2 linked regions of the Rhinolophus ferrumequinum genome follow. The protein of the gene in region 2 interacts with the protein of the main gene of each other region in a biochemical or structural test. Links are inferred from orthologs where the notes say so. Each region holds a gene or a part of one and is shown on either strand. Other genes may lie near its edges.

Evidence for each region.
Region 1: of the proteins of FBXL17 (region 2) and SUFU, one has a biochemical effect on the other in vitro, tested with the Homo sapiens proteins (2 studies listed by BioGRID, with this or other methods). The link is inferred for Rhinolophus ferrumequinum from reciprocal best matches to the Homo sapiens genes FBXL17 and SUFU.

The regions. Positions count from the first base shown.
Region 1 is NC_046299.1:22,534,416-22,542,568, forward strand, and holds the start of SUFU (suppressor of fused homolog), read right to left. Parts: upstream 4,984-8,153; 5' UTR 4,800-4,983; coding exon 4,618-4,799; intron 500-4,617; coding exon 365-499; intron 1-364. Other genes in the region: ACTR1A (alpha-centractin), read left to right, coding at 6,622-6,669. UniProt on the Homo sapiens protein: Negative regulator in the hedgehog/smoothened signaling pathway. Down-regulates GLI1-mediated transactivation of target genes. Down-regulates GLI2-mediated transactivation of target genes. Part of a corepressor complex that acts on DNA-bound GLI1.
Region 2 is NC_046290.1:73,023,786-73,031,938, forward strand, and holds the start of FBXL17 (F-box/LRR-repeat protein 17), read right to left. Parts: upstream 4,693-8,153; 5' UTR 4,557-4,692; coding exon 3,570-4,556; intron 1-3,569. UniProt on the Homo sapiens protein: Substrate-recognition component of the SCF(FBXL17) E3 ubiquitin ligase complex, a key component of a quality control pathway required to ensure functional dimerization of BTB domain-containing proteins (dimerization quality control, DQC).

The sequences.
Region 1 (8,153 bases), on a different chromosome or scaffold from region 2:
TGTCTAAAATTTTTCTTAATAAGCTAGAGGGAAAAAGAGAAGTAGACTTAAAGGAGTCAACACGAGTTCTGGGTCATAGCTATACTGCCTGACCTCTGAGCTCAAACACCAGAGCACACTGGGAAAAACCTGACACTCATCATCGACCCTTTCCCACACCAGGTGAGCAGAGCCTGGGTACTGACTTGGACCCCCCCTCGACACAAGTAGATACAGGCAGAGGACAGAAACCCAGAAGTTCCACCTGCGAAGTGCCAACCCCACAGGACTATGACATTACCAGCTCTGTCCAGGAAAACCTCAGAAATAAGGCTCAAGGCTAAGGAATGGACAGGTGGAAGGTGGGCAAATGGCACACACTCACTCATGGACTCTGCTGTCGCCATAGAGATCGCTTAGGCCGAAGCTGATGTAGTGCCAGTGCTCAGGGATGTTGGCAGAAGGGCTCCCCACGTTCCTGTACATGCTAACATAGTCCAACGGATCAGGGCCGCCCAACCTGCAAAAGACAAAACAGGGGTGTCAGGGTAAGCCTGAAAGCAGACAGTGTGAAGCTAAGGGGCTCTGCCTTACAAACCAAAAAGGCCCCATTCTGCAGGAAGCTGGGGTGAAAGGTAACTAAAGGGAGGCCACACCTCTCTGGGATAAGCCAAGGGCTGGGCAACTAGAGATTGCCCAATTCCGAAAGCACAACAGACTCCTTTCTCCGCTCCCCAACAGGTAGGACCTCTTTTAGATATAAAACCGACTGGGTGGTTGCCCCTTTCGCTTCCTCCGGTTTCAAATGACCAATCCTAAATGGGTTGACAGGGATTGTCTCTCTTCCATGGTGCCTGGAAACATTCCACAATTCGAGGCAAGAGGTGCCTCAGTCAATCCATTGGCCTCTGTAGAAAGATCATCCTGAGCATTCCCTAAGGGCATTGTTTCTGGAAGAAGAGGCTCAACTCCACTCCCGTCTCTTAGACAGCTAATTCCTGAAAGACTATATTGTGCCCTATGTTAATTACAGTTTGTTCTTAACAAACCCAATGCCTCCAGACCCCTGCCCACACCCCACAAAGCAAAGCTGGTCTTTTATCATGCAAGTGACAAAGGCCAAACTTAGGTTGGCTCAGCTCTGCACAGATAACTGCAGAGCCCTGTGAGGGCTTGCATCCGCAAGAGGATCCCAGGAAACTGCAGCCTCAAAGGTGGAGCTGGAACATTAAATGATTTGGGGCCTCTCAGGACCATATTAAACATCCCCCATACTTCCAACACAGAGGCAGTTGAGGAAGAGATTTAGTCATTATCTCACTCTGAGGATTTAATTCAATAAGGGTTCCCGTTAGTGGAGTAATTAGTGTTCTTTCAAAAAATCCTGCTTTTCTTCAGAATGGATAGGGAAACTTGGTAAACTTGAGAAACAGACGAAATGGAAACCATCAGCGGAAGGAAGTCTGCATTTAGCCCACAAACACTCTGCATTTGAGCTGCCTCGGACATCTGACTATTCCACAGACTGCAAAAACTTTGCCTGCCCTTGGGACATCGATGGAGTGCGCTTTGCAATTGGGATCATATGCTAAAGGAACGCAAACAACCAAATAAAAGATGTGTTACGTGTGATCCCAGCAAGCATGCCAGTGCCACACAATTTAAACACTATTTAAAACCAGTAGGTCTGGTTTCATCCTCTTTTGTCAGGATATTATTTGCCTTTGTAGAAATCCTTATTCTCTGCTAGGAAAGCTAAGTTATTTATAGAACATGTAAGAAAGTCACTACAAATAGCTTAGGGACAAATCTCCATATCTTTCTTTAACTTTGATTTTGCAAAATCAATTGACTAATCCCACAACCAGTCAGATTTAGGGAGGTTTGTCGGGGGAGGGAGGAAAGAAAAGGGTAGCTATCCCTGGAAGTACCCCATGATAGCTGCAGAACCCCAGAATAGATGGAAGTGACGACAGGCTCCATATCTGCTCCAGTTTCCTACTGCAAATTCCCAGTCCTGACCCTCCTCCAGCCTTGGTCCATCCAGCAACAAGTGGGAAAACTGCATTCCCCGTTCTGTGCTTCATCTGCCACACTACTGCAGCCCTCTTTCTGGCCAAGTGTCCCAGGAGGTATTGCATCAAGGAGAGAGGTTTTACCTTAAAACTCCAACTGCAGGGAATAACCAAGAATCAGACAAAATCAATCTAGTCTCCAAGTGCAGAGTGTTCTTCTGTTCTACTTACTCAGAGACAGGATGGGTAGGCCATGAGCATGTAGAAAATAATCGTATTGTGCATTTAGAAAAAAGATGTTATCCAAGGACCCAGAGCATCCCTCAACTTCATACCTTGAACACCTGACTTCACTCCCCAAGGCAGTTGCAGGACTGGAGTGACCGCAAGGTACAGGCTCTGCCCCTCTGCGTCCGCTCCCTGCTCACTACAGTCTTGGCTTTTAGCGTCCTTGCTAGCTAGAGGCCACTAGCCAAAGAGCCACCCTTTTGTCACGAGAAAAGGAATACCAAGGTACCCTGGACCACAGCCAGACTCAGGCAGCCTGGGTCCATCATCCTGCCATGAGAACTGAAGAGGCCTTGTGGTATCTCTAACATGAGGGACATCGATGAATTCATTTCAGGATCTTAATTATGCAAACCCCGCCAAACCTTAGAAAGAACTAGTCACTGAGCTGTTCCCTCATATTTTTCGGCGTCTAGGCAGCATTTCTAATTTCACAGAGTGCTGTAAATCGTCGTTATTTGTCATTACATGTTAGTCCATCTAAAGATAAGTCCTGGCTGGTTAACAAGCTTGCAGCAAGAAGGAAAAAAAACAGTTGCCCAAACCAGTCTTAGTCCTTTGCATGTGCTTCAATACCTTTTCCATACAACACTATCCTCCTGGCCACATGGGTGACATAAAAAGTTGCCCAAGTCTGTCAGTGGATTTCTCCTTACACTCAAATGAGGCCTGAACAAACAGCATGGCAGAACCAGGCCCACTTTCCTCATGACACAATCCAATATAGTTCATCACAATACATATTTAAGTATAGAGGTGCGATTTGAATGGGTGATTAAGTTATCAAGAGCTGTGATTCAGTCAGAAGCTCTCTTCAAAAACTTCTCTCAACCAAAGAACAGTTTGCTTGCCAGAAAGAACTGTATCGCTGGCCACACCTCCTCCTGGCTACCAGACAGAGGCAGGTTGCTCCCCATGGCCTACCTAAGGCGCAGGTGGCAGGTCCCCAGGCCCTTCACACTGTCAGCCTCTTTACATGCTCCCGTCTACACCGGGAGCTAGCTGGCCTAAGTCCTATAGCCTAGCTTCTGCCATCTCCGGAGGAAGTAAGATGTTGTCACGGAGGAGACTCAGTTCTAAAGGGAGAGGTAACCAGCAAGGCATCCACTCTTTGCACTTCCCTCTTTGAGTCTATCTGCCCTTTAGGCCACACCGCAAGCAGCTGCCTGAACAGTCTTCCAGGACTCAATGAAGGGAGTCATCTAATACAGTGCCCGCATGAATGTGGTTCTGGACAGATTCAACCAATTCCTCCGTCAACTTTTGGTTGAGAAAGACCACGAAGACAGACCCTTTCCAACAGTCCCCATAACACCAGTTTTGCCCAAAGGTTGCAGGAAGAAATAGGTTGCAAACAGGAATGAGAAACTGAAAAAGACCATTTCTACTCCAAGGGTAGCCCATCTGTAAACAGGTCTGATCTTTAACAACTACTTGGGGGTTACTCTCAGCTTCTCTCAGAAACTGCTTCCTAAATCCTGAAGCTTGTGGCCAGGAAGCTCCTCAACATCTCACTGCCTTCTTTCCTCCCTGTCCAAGTCCCAGGTCTTCAGCATTTACTGTGGTCCCCTTCCATCCTCAGCCAAATCATGGATCTCCCTGACCCTACCTCTGTTCTAGCCAATGTCTTAAAGCAAAGCAGCTGCAGAGGCAGAGGAAGCTCTGCAGGAAAAAAACTGTGCAGAGTAAGCAGAAAGTTTATCAGGAAAAGTTGTTCCGTGAAACTTCAAACCCCAAAGCACCGCACTGATATGATGTCTGAGTTCATTGGGAAAGTATCAAAAGGAGACCTCCTCATCTCTTCACAAGCATAACGCTCACAACTTGCTCTTCTAAACGGCAGGAGAGCCCGAGTCCACAGACCCACCCCTACCCTGTGCAGTCTCATACCCTCGCAGCTCCTCCAGCCGCGCTCCTCCAAAGCCCTCTCATATGCTCCCCAGGCCCCGCCTCGTCTCCCCCATCCCACTTCAGCTGCCCCCCCTTGGCTTCCCCTCGCCCACTAATGACCCCCTACAGGCGCCCCCTCCTTTCACCACGTCTACAGTTCCCACTCTCCTATCTTTCCCCGCTCAGCTCCTACACACTCCCAATTCACTCTATTCTCCTAATTCCAGTTAACCCTTCAACCTCCCCGCCCTCGTTAACCCTTCGCTACCCACAGGCTCCGTTAACCCCTTTGTCCCCATTTACAACTCCTTCCTTCGCAGCAGGAAGCCCTTCATCCAAGTGCTTTAACCATTCTTCTCCTCCTCCTCCGAATATTACTTCGTCCCTGGTGCTTTAACCCTGCCCAGCCTGCCCAGTTGGTGTCCCCGCGCGGCCCAGGGCATACCAGTACTTGACGATAGCTGTAACCTGGAGCGGGTTCGGCTGGTCAGGGTAAAGACGACGGCACTCTCCGTAGATGGCGTGCAGTCCCGGAGGGAACAGCGAGGCGAAGGCCGGAGGTGCAGTCGGGCCAGGGGCCGGGGGCGCGGTGGGGCCGGGGGCGCCGCTAGGCCGCAGCTCCGCCATCCGGGCGCGTAGGGCGCTGGGAGAACCCGGGAGGGCAGACGAGCGGCAGAGCACTGACGCGCCAGCGGGCGAACCTGGAGGGTGCGACTCCCCTAGGCGATGGGGGCTGCAGCGAGGTCTAGGCTTCGCGCCTGCGCACAGCGCACCGTCCGCCCAGGCCGTCGCCGCGGCAGAGATAGCCAGAGGTTGCCTGGGGGGGCCGCTGGACGCTCAAGGAGGCGGGGCACCGGCGCGCCCTATCCCAGATTCTATTGGCTAATGTCTGTGCCAGTCACACGTGGGACTGCGTGCCTTGACAATAGGTCCCGCCTCCCTCTCCCTGTGTTAGGGGTATCCCAAGGCTCTTGGCCTCCCCCTAGTGTTAGGAGGAGCCCAGGTTTAAATACAGATGTGGAGCCATCCTTTTGAGGTGCTAGGGTCCCACATAAGCACTGGGAAGTGCGCTGACGAAGAGCTTATCACTGGTCGGGTGACACGCTAACAAGGATTTAAACATAAGTTTGACAATAGATTAATTCATTCCTCCATTTGGCACTAGTTTAAATAGATTTAAATCTGAATGTTTCCTACACCTTGGAATGTCCACTAATCGTATTGACTGACACCAACACCACCAAACTCAGGGGTCGTATGTCAAAATACCTATTATGGAATTCTGATGGAAAGTAACAAGAGTTTGGTAAACTAGGATCAATTAAAGAAACTTCGTAATTATTTAATAGATGTTAATGACAATCTCTTCTTTGTTGTGTTTTAGGCAGAGATATGCAGATTGTCTTGAGGAACACCAATGTTCATTATCTACTATGGGCCTGCCATTCTCCATTACTTTGACTCTCTGTAACTGGGAGAATTTTTAATTTCTAAGGCACCGGGTTGGGAATTATTTTCTTGTTTACAATAACTTTTCAAAAAGTAATATCTCCCACTCAATGATCTTGAAGAAATTCCAAAAGACGAATAGAAAGGAGTCCAGGCTACCAGTGCTATTGACTACAAGCATCCCTGCAACTTGAAGCAGCGGAGGAAATAATCTAGAGAAAAATGCACTGAAATCATTTGAAAGCAGTGACTTTTCACCTCCATTTTCTCACTCATCAATGTCAATTCTCTACCAATAATTCCAAATGCCAGTCTTCAGACCAGTGTTAGCCTGTTGCAAAGTTTATACCTATCCAGGAAAAAATGCAAAAAGCAATGAAAATGTGTTGTTATTTTTTTCCTAAAAAGCAAATTTTATGCAATTTATTTCCTTTGTTCTGGGAATATGTCCTTCCCCGTATGTGTGTGTATTAAAATTTATTTTATTAGAGTGTGGTGGCCATAGATGTTTATTAATATCTTATGGATCCAGATAAAAACATGGTAGCCTTAATATTGTCCAGAAGTGGTGCGGAGTGGCAGAACTGATCTGTAAAATCCGAACATCTACGAATTACTGATCAATCCAAAGCGAACTACAGACAAGTACTTCAGCATGCACTGCGAATCCCTCCAAAGGGATCCCTACAGATCCAAGCTTGCAATACAACCATCAATCTGAATCCCCGTGTATTTATCTATGGAAACTACAAAGCCCAGGGTACTGTGCGTCGGAAACGCAACACCGGGTAATGGGTCTCTTAAATTAGGCGGGGCTCCGAAACTGCCTTGCCCTCTAACTGCAGGTGCAAGACATCGTGGGGGTTGTAGTTCTTCCGAGGCGAGGTCTGGCCGCTCCCTGGCCGCCCTGCATCAGCGGCTAGACTGCGCATGCGCGTCAGTGGCGCTAGCTGCGGACCCGGCAGGCAGTTCCTTCCTCAGAAGGAGAGATTCCTCTGCCATGGAGTCCTACGATGTGATCGCCAACCAGCCTGTTGTGATCGACAACGTGAGTTTCGTCTTCCATTTCTCTAAAGGGACTCATGCTCTCCTCCCCGAAGGGATCGCTTCCCGGCTTTCAAGCCTGCGCCGCCGGCTCTTTGTCACTGGTCTGGCCTGTCAGGCGGGTTCAACCGCCGCTACCTCCGTCCTTCCTCCACCCATAGACCGCACGCAGGGCGGCCGGCCAGCAACCATGGGATAGAGAACTTGGGAGTGGATTAAGGGAACAGCTGTAGTCCGAGCCGGGTCCTTGGGCCCTTGACTCTTAGGGGCCTTAACCGCTCTGTGAGCGCCCGGCACCCGCCCCTCCCCAGTTTCCGATAACTCTATTGGCTGTTCTGGCTGTCCATCTTGACCGATGACCCCGCCTCTGAGCCTTGCCTGATGAGGGCTGCCCTCTGCAGTGATTGGCTTGCGCCCTTGCCGTTCTTCCGGGCCGTCAAAGCGTTTCTCTTTAAGGGGCGGGGCAGTGCACGAGGACTGTGGGGATTGGCTGTCGGAACTCTCAGTGGTAGGGCCTGATGGGCTAGGGCCGGTCCGCGGGTGGAGAAGGGCTAAGTTTCCTTTGGTCTGGAGCTGGCCGGGTTGCTTGGCGGTGTATCTGGGTGGGGCCCAAGAATGTGGTGTCAGAAATGGCCATCAGATTTCAGTTATTTCTGTGATTGTAAATTATAGCGTTAATAAAGTTCGAGAAGAAGGGAGAGTGACAAAGCAAGCAGGGAGGTACCTTCCTCTTTGGAACGCCTAGTTACTGGGGGGGAAATTTTACCTACATAGTGTTTGCCAGGCTCTCTAGCGCTTATGGAGGGCTTTCACATACTCGTAACCTTCAAGTTGGATCCTCACAAAAACTGGGTACATAGTTAAGGCAGGACGTTTGATGCTCGTTTTACAAATGAGAAAACGAGCGCGAAGAGGTTTCAAACAAGGTCGCACTAAATCCAGTGCTTTATCCGTTATTCCATTCCCCCACGCCAAGCATCAATAGTGATAAATGAAAAGAATCTAAATATTGCTCTTATTTTGCGCGGAAGGAGACAATCGTAAAACAACTGCATTTCTTTCCTCCAAAGGTTTGATCCCACCAAAATTGGTTGATACCTTTTCTGTACCCCTTCTAAATCTCTCCATTGAGGCAAAACTGCCCGTTCCCTCTCTCCTAAGATGACTGTCAGATTTGCTCTGTTGATCCAGCCCTCTTGGACCTTAGGTAAATTGCAAGGTCTTTTCATTTGCATCATCTCTTTTAAGCTCCAGCTCTGGTAGGTAGATGGGAATCATTATCCTCAGTTTATGCAGGAAAGTGAGGCTTGGAGAGGTTAAATAACAGTATTCGAACTACCAGGTTTGTGAGTTGAGGAGCCAAGACTCAAATCGAGATCAGGTTCCAAGTTCCTAACTTTTTTCAAAAAAGGGTGCTTTTTTTTATTGTTAGCTTTCCCTCTCTTCAGGAGTATGGCTTCTGCCTTGAAAAGCAAGAAGTTGAGTTCA
Region 2 (8,153 bases):
ACTCATAGGCTTAGAAGTCTAGTCTAAGCTCCCCCTCACCCACCTCCAGATTCAGGAATCTCTTTCATGAAATCTCTGAGAGAAGATTATTCAGGCCCTCTCACACAGTATGTTGAAAAGATCTCTAGACCTGGAAACAATAAGCTGGGTTCCAGACCAGTGTCTGCCATTCACTATCTAAAATGTATTAGGGTAAGCCATTTTACTTCTCCAGCCTGTATCTTCATGCTCAAGAAGTGGGGAAAGATTAGATGATGTCAAAGGTCTCTTCCTGTTCTGAAGTTACATAACTATGAGGCTCACTAGTTCAAGAAAGAACTCATTTCATTTTTACACAGCTCTCATTGTTAGAAAGGACTTTCTAAATTTCCTAATATACAAATTCTTCAATCCTGAAATTCCACTTCTTGAAATGTACCCTAGAAAAACATGACCACATGTACATAGAAAACATCTATCAGCATTGTTTGTAGTAGCAATTAACTGGAAACATCCATTAATAAACACAGTATAACACATAGTATAACACTATGGGATACTATGCAGCAGTTAAAAAGAATGAAGGAAACCATATACTCACTAAGGGGAAAGACCTCCAAACCATACTATTAACACCTCCCCCCAAAAAAAAACATTGCAGAACATGTACATTTTGATGCCATTTACAAAAATGACTCTGAAGGTTTATACAGGGCTTTCAACAATGATGGAACTGTTCTAGAAAGTCCAGTCCAGTTGCCCCCAGCCACCCATGAATATTGATCTCTGAAATGTGGCTACTATGACTTAGAAACTAAATTTCAAATTGTATTTAATTTTAACTACTTTAAATTTAATAGCCATAGGTGGCTAGTGGGTATTGTGCTTGACAGTGCAGGTCTAGAAGAACAATCTAAACTGGTAACAGTGGTTAGTTCTCTCTGGAGAGGAAACAAAATAGGAGGGTAGGGGTAAAGGCACACTTTTGCTTTACCTGAAATATTTGAATGTTTTAAAGCAAGGAATACTTATTATTTACATAAAATAAAATTTAAAAAGAAAAGGCCTTATTGATAATGAGCCAAAAATCTGCCCATGAAGCACCACAAAAAGAATTCAGTTTTTCTCTTTTGCTTTTGCCATACCTGGAAAAAACGGGGCAAGTATGAGAGCTTTCCCTACTAACATCCTGTAAGTCACATTTCTCTCCTAAATTTTTCCCCCACTGCATCCCGTTTTACAACTATAGTCATTTTTGGTACAAAAAGCATAGCAACACAATCATAAAGGCTACTGACCCATTATCAAGAGAGAAGAGCATACTTTCTTAAGAATGTTTTCCAATGGAGGTGATGGATTTGTGCCTTTCTATGCAACGACCCTTCCTTCCTCTACTGTAAAAAAAAAAAAAAAAAAAAAAAAAAAAATGTGCTAGATCCCTAAGAATTCTCTTCTCCAAGCCAAACACTTCCACTTCTCACCAGAAAAAGCCAGAATGCTTTCAAACATCACGTGGCTCTGTTGTAGCTCAGAACAACTCAAGTCAGGATATAAACATTTCTTAAACACTTCTCTTAGTGGTATGGCATACTCACCCAGAGTCTCAGCCCAGAGTTCTAAACACTTGGTCATTAATGTGTTCATAAATATTTACTGAGTGCTACTAAATGCCAGGCACTGCACTTAGGAGAGGGGATAGAGCAATGAACAAGATCTGTGTGGATAGAGTCTCTGTCCCCAAAAGCCTTACCCCTAAAAGTTCTACTTGGTAAACACTGAAAAACCTTGATTTCAATTCATTCCAGACAGTCCACCTCACTTGTTGCTGAATAGCACTAGGACCATGAGAACCCCACAGGCAATCTTCATTCAAGTTTCTAATACAAAGAAAAAATACTCCAAATACTCCAACACAAACAAGGCAAGTCTAAGGAGTAATTCCCAAGTGTCCCTCAGACCAAGTTTTCAACATTTCACAACAAAAATGTGAAAAGGAACAATGTAGCAAATAGAATAAGTCTATCCTATAGGGATTCTCTTTATAATGAGATCATGTCCTTTTTTCTGTATTAAAATGTTCTCTACGTCAAGAAATAATGGTTTAGGTAGAAAGCAGAAGTACCTGGGTTTTTTGTTTTGGTTTGTTTCTAAACAGTATACTTGCCAAATAACAAGACATCCATCAAACCTCTATACCAAATATGTGTTGATATTTTATTTGTCCATGTCACCCACTGATTCAAAGGACTTAAGAAAGTACCTTCTGCTCTAAAATACACATCCTGAACACACAACGGAGGCAATTATTCCGCTGACAAATATACCTCCATACGGGTTAAATCTTTACATTTTGACACAAGGAAAAGTTAAGCTTTCACACTCTTTTGTTATATTATTCACAAGAACATTAATATCACAATAAAACAGATAAAAACACAGGATTACAAATATGCAAAAAGTCGAATCAAACAAAGTATACTGGTGACAGTAACAACTGTAATTGATGACAGCTACTTCAGTAACAATAAAAGTAGCCAAATTTTTATCTAAGTGATTTTGGGCTAGTCTTAAATATCATCCACACTGAAAAAGGAGATTTACATGTATTAAGGTCCAGAAATGGCAGGGGGAGGGAAGAAAATGAGAAAACAACTTGTTAATAACAACTTAATACAACCTCTATCACACAGTTAAGTTATCACTAGCACTGACAAAACTGCAAGTTTTACTTGGTACTTGAAGTGCGACAAAGCTCCCACAGGACACTCATATCTTCTCCACTCACCCATCCTCCAACAAAAAATACACTTGTCCTTACCTTCTTTTATGTAAAAGTTCACAGGTTGGAAGCTAATACAACATAGCATAAACAAAAGGGTTTTCAAGTCAAGCAGGCCTCAATTCCCCAGATGTGCCTCTTACGATTATGTGTGGCCTTGGAAAAGTCATTTAACCTCTTCAAGCGACACTAGACTGTAATCTCCATAAGAGAAAACACCACTTCTGCCTGACTTACTACTGTAGGCACACAGGACTGAAAAATCAGTTTCTCTTCTATAAAGTAAGGACGTTAACAATGTTTATCGCACAGCGGTAATTGGAGGATTAAATGAGATACTACGTATATAAAACTCTGGGACAGCGCCTGATCACAGTAAATGCTCAAAAAAAGTTAAGTGTTATTGACATCAACTAGCAGCTATCAAACCTGGAAGAAGTTTGAAGACTTTCGAACACTAATATAAAGTCCTTACCCAGTAAGTGCAAATTCGTCATTGATTAAAATATTTCACAGAAAACCTACGAGTCGTTTGTAAACCACTGAGCTGGGAATCTAATAATAGATGAACTTTGAATTGTGCGTAACAAACCCACGCTAATTAAAAGGCATTCAGTAGATTCCAAGTTTTTCTACTTCAAAAAATAAGCCCTAAGCATCCTCCACATTGGCTTCCCCATCTCCCCTTGGGACGTGTCTGGCGGTCAGGGAACCCCCTCCTCTGCGCTTAGGAAGAGGAGAGAGAGAACCTCCGAGGAGGCAGCGGGCTTGGGGGAAAGCGCGCATCCCTGCGCCATTCACCCAGACCCACCTTGAGCAGGATGGAAGGCGGCAGCTGGTTGATGTCTGGGGTTTCGGGGGGCGGCTCCCTATGACAGTCGCAGGCGTTTTCGCGGGGATCCTGACAGTCCGCGTCGCCGCATTCAAGCTGCTGCTGGGCAGCCGAGGGGGCGGTGCTCCCCGCTCGGACGGCGTCCCCGCCGGCCTCCGTGGGGGCACCTTCGGAAGTGGGAGAGGAGGGCGGGGGGCAGAGAGGCTGCGGTGGCTGCTCGGAGCCTTGGCAGCAACCGGCATCGGGGGGCCGCGGAGGTGAGGCGCCTCCTCCCGCAGGCCCGCCGCCACCGCAGCCCCCGCCGCCGCAGCGGGGCTGCTTACAGGGGGTGCAGGCGGGGACTCCGGCCCCCTTCCGCTTGCACACCATCTCCGGGGACGTGGGGGGCTCGGATGGAGGCGGCGTGGACCCCCGGAAGAGTTGCACGGCGACAGGCGGCCCCAGGAAGCGCACGGGCCCCAAGCTGGCCAAGAACAGGCTCCGGCCCTGCTGCTCCCAGGCGGCGGCCGCAGCCAGCCCCAGCTCTTTGCAGCAGGAGGCGGGCGATGAGGCCGAGGCGGCGGCGGCGGCGGCGGCGGCGGCAGCGGAGGATAGCAGGAAGCGGCGGGCGACGGCGGCGCAGTCTTCAGCAGCCAGGGCCGCGTAGCGCCGTGCCAGGTGCTGAGAGGAGGCGGCCGCGGCGTAGGCCCCGTCCCGCGGCGGCGGCGGCGGCGGCGGCGAGAGCGGCGGCTCCTCCTCTGGGCCGGCGGGGGCGGGCGCGCCGGGGCTGTGCACGATGAAGCAGAGCATGCAGGGCCCGCGGAAGAAGCAGTCCCGGCTCCGGGGCGCCGCCGGCTGGGGGGGCGCCTTGGCCGGGGTCCGGCGGGGCAGCCTGAGGAGAGGGCGGCGGCGGCGGCACCAGCTGCAACAGCGAGGCCTCTTCTGGCTCGGGCGGTTACGCGGCTCCTTCGAAAGAAGGTGGCCCATATAGAAGGCCCCGAGGAGGGGGACCGGGACGGGGCAGGAGGGAGGCCCGGAGAGTCGGGCTCCCGGCAGCGGGGCAGGCCGCTCGCTGGCTCGGCCTCCGGCCCGCGGCGGGGTCGCCCGCCCGGCGCACACACACGCACACGGGCACCCACGCGACGGCGGGGATGGGCGTCAGCTGCGGGCCGCCCTGCCGCCCGTCGGGGGCTACATGCTTTGCCCAGGGAAGCCGGGAGAACGATAGGCGCGAGGTTTGGGGACGCGACGGCGAGAGCGAGCCTGCCGGCTAGACGACCAGTCCGAGCTGGGCCCGCCGGCTCAGTCAGTCAGTGCGGCGGTCGGGGGAACGCAGGGTCCCGCTCGGACCATTTTAACTGCGGCTCCGCCGGCGGCGCGCGCGCCCGCGATACGGCTCGGAGCCGCAGGAGCGCGCGGCCCGCGCGGGGAGGGGGCGGAGCCGGCTGCGGCGGCGCGCTCCGGACGGGGGTTCGGGCGCCGGGCTGCTCACCCGGGACGGCCGCTAGGCAGGGACTGCTGGGAAGCGGGCGGGCGAGGGCGCGGGGCTCGCGGGGACCGCCGTGCGACCCTCCCTCCCATCGCCCAGGGTTTCGCGGAGGCAGCTGGGCCCACGCCCCCTTTCTGGAGCGGGAGGAGACGCTTCCGAGCCAGTTGTGTGACATCCGTTTGCACAGCCGCGCTGACGTCTGTAGGTGTAAGTTCAAGAACTGCCATTGGCCGGGAGCCTCTCGGCTCTTCCTCACACCCCCCACCCCGACTCGGATCGGAGACCGTGGCCACTTACGGGCGGTAAACAGGGTTCGGCCGGAAGGCCAACCTGGGTCCCAGGCTGCCTCTGCAGTGGAGTGGTAGATGCGCGGTCTTTGGGTGGTGAGCACCGGTGTTCTCGCGTAAGGGGTTAATTGGTAATGCAACACTGCTGTGTTTCCCCGCTTGTTTTTATACTTTGTTACTTGTGGCAGACTGCTGACTAAACCATAACTTTATTTCCAAATGAAAGCATGTGTCAAATTATCTATACACACCAGAAAGATAAATAGTTTCTTACCCAACATCCCAGGCTATAAGCTACAAATGAGTGTCGTCTGCACCCTCGGAATCCCATCTATCCATCATCTACTTTTAAAATGATTGTGCGTGCCTACTACGGCATATGATAGAATGGTTCTAGACAGACCTTGGAGACTCTGGGAAGAAAGAGGAAAGAAGTTTTGCAGACAACCCTTTAGAAGGTTTGACTGATGATACTAGAGAGAGAGAGGGCAATAACCAGAGCGGTATCTGGTGTTGAGAGGTTAGCTTTCACAAGGGAGAAATTGGAAGAGGCTTAGTGATGGGAAATGAGGCAGTATAAAGGAGATGAGAAGAGATAATACAAGGCCCTCGACAAGATGGAATGGCAAGTACCTTAGGAGGGATACTGCCTTTACTGTGATTGGAAGGAATAAGGAAAGACGTGATAAAGGATGGGCACAGATAGGTGGATGTTTCTAGCAAGAAAGTGAAAGGGTTCCTTTCAAAGGGTCTCTGTTTTCCATTAAGTGGAGCCGGGTTACCTGCTTGAAGGATAGAAGGAAAGAGTCAGGTGTTTTAAAAAGCTACTAAGGATAACTTGAGAGAACTGACAGAGGAAGCAGTATTGCAAGATTCAAAGCTGGTCAGCTTAGAGACCATTGTTTAGGCCTGTGTAACTTTCCCACCACAGTGGCCAGTCTCACGCAGCCTTCTCCCAAACATACCATCAAACCTTTGCTAATAACGGTCTCTTTGTCAAAAGTGACTTTTATGTTAGTTCTGCCAACCTTCAGGGATTTCCCTTTCTGAGTGAGATGGAACTCCAAGAAACCTAGAGGCAAAAATTTATCAAAGGGTTTTACATACCGGTTACGCACTATGAAGTACACTGCCCGAATTGCATTGACCTACAGATATTATCCACACAGCTTTCATCCCTCAGGCTGTAGAGGGATCTTCCTGCGCCAGAGTTCCTGTCATGAGAACAGGAGGTTAGGAGTGACCGGGATTACGTGAGGTCTTACAACAAATCCTTTGCCATCTTTGCAAAACTACACTTTGAGGAGAGGGTGTTCTAAGCTTTTCTATTGTACACCCATTAGTTTCATATAAATTATACATTATGACCTAGCACTTAGAGGTATTTATCCAAGAAAAATAAAAGCATATATGCATAAAACCACTTGTACAAAAATATGTATAGCAGCTTTATTCATGATCACAAAAATCTATAAACATACCAGATGTCCTTCAGTAGAGATTGGATAAATAAACTGGTATAATCGTTCAATGGCATACTACTCAGCAATTAAAAAAAAAAAAAGGAAGAAAGAAAAAACAACATGGATGAATCTCCAAAACACGCTGAATCAGACTCTCTGGAGTTGGGGCCTGTGGTCAAAGAGCCAGGAGTGCAGTTTCCAGGCTTTTGGCCTCACGTGGAAAGGTGCGGGCTCAGGTAGTAAATGGCCATAAACTATGATTGGATGGCCATCAGCTGTGGCTAGTTAGCTGTCAGCTGTAACCAGTGAGCCATTGGCTACTAATATAACTGCTGTGGCTACACTAGCAGCAAAATGAGGCCTGGCAAGAAGATGGTGGCTGAGCCTGCAAACAGCACAGTGAGGGTTGCGAACAGTGTGGCTCCTGCTTCCTGTTTCTCCAACTCAGCTGAGTATAGTGGTGTGACTCCCCTACCTATGGCTCCCTGGGTGTTCCTTTTTGGCCTCACCATATCCTGTGTTCTTGTGTGGGGAGCGGGAGCTGAGACCCCGCATGACACGCCATGTGACAGGGCCCTAGAATCCCTACTTGATCTTAACAAGCTCCGCATGTGATTACTGCACAGACAGCCCAACACTATGCAAACCTATCAGAAGTACACGTAATCTGTGTCTTGTTTCAGAGGTGAGGCAAGTGACAGACTTTTAAAGTGGTTTCCAAAATTCACAGCACTGGTTTTTACTTCCAATACCAGAGCCTTTCAAGCTGCAAGTAAGTGGCTGTTTTTCTCTTTACCGCAGCATGGAGCAAGGTCTTGTACTTTCAGTAATTAAGTAAGCTACTGCTATCATCACCAGAGCTGCAGTGAGCATTAGAACTCATTACTCTTCTGAGTAAGAGTTATACATTGCTATTTAGAGATAATTATAGCACTTGATGTCTTTGTTAGGAACAAAAAAGCAGCCTGAACAACCAGGAGCTGGCCTAGAACTACCGTGTTCCCCCTAAATAAGACCTAGCCAGACCATCAGCTTTAATGCGTCTTTTGGAGCAAAAATTAATATAAGACCCGGTCTTATTTTAATATAATATGTATCTTATAATGTAATACCAGGTCTTATATTAATTTTTGCTCCAAAAGACACATTAGAGCTGATGGTCCAGCTGGGTCTTATTTTCGGGGAAACATGGTATTAGCTAGGCCTTGGTGTCACTGGTGTTCTCAGCTAGGTCTGAGTGTTCTGTTGAACATAAATAATTTCACAAAACATTACACATGGCCACTCTGACCATAATAGACAAGACAAAAACAAGATCCCTCCATAATCATGTCTAAGCGTGGCA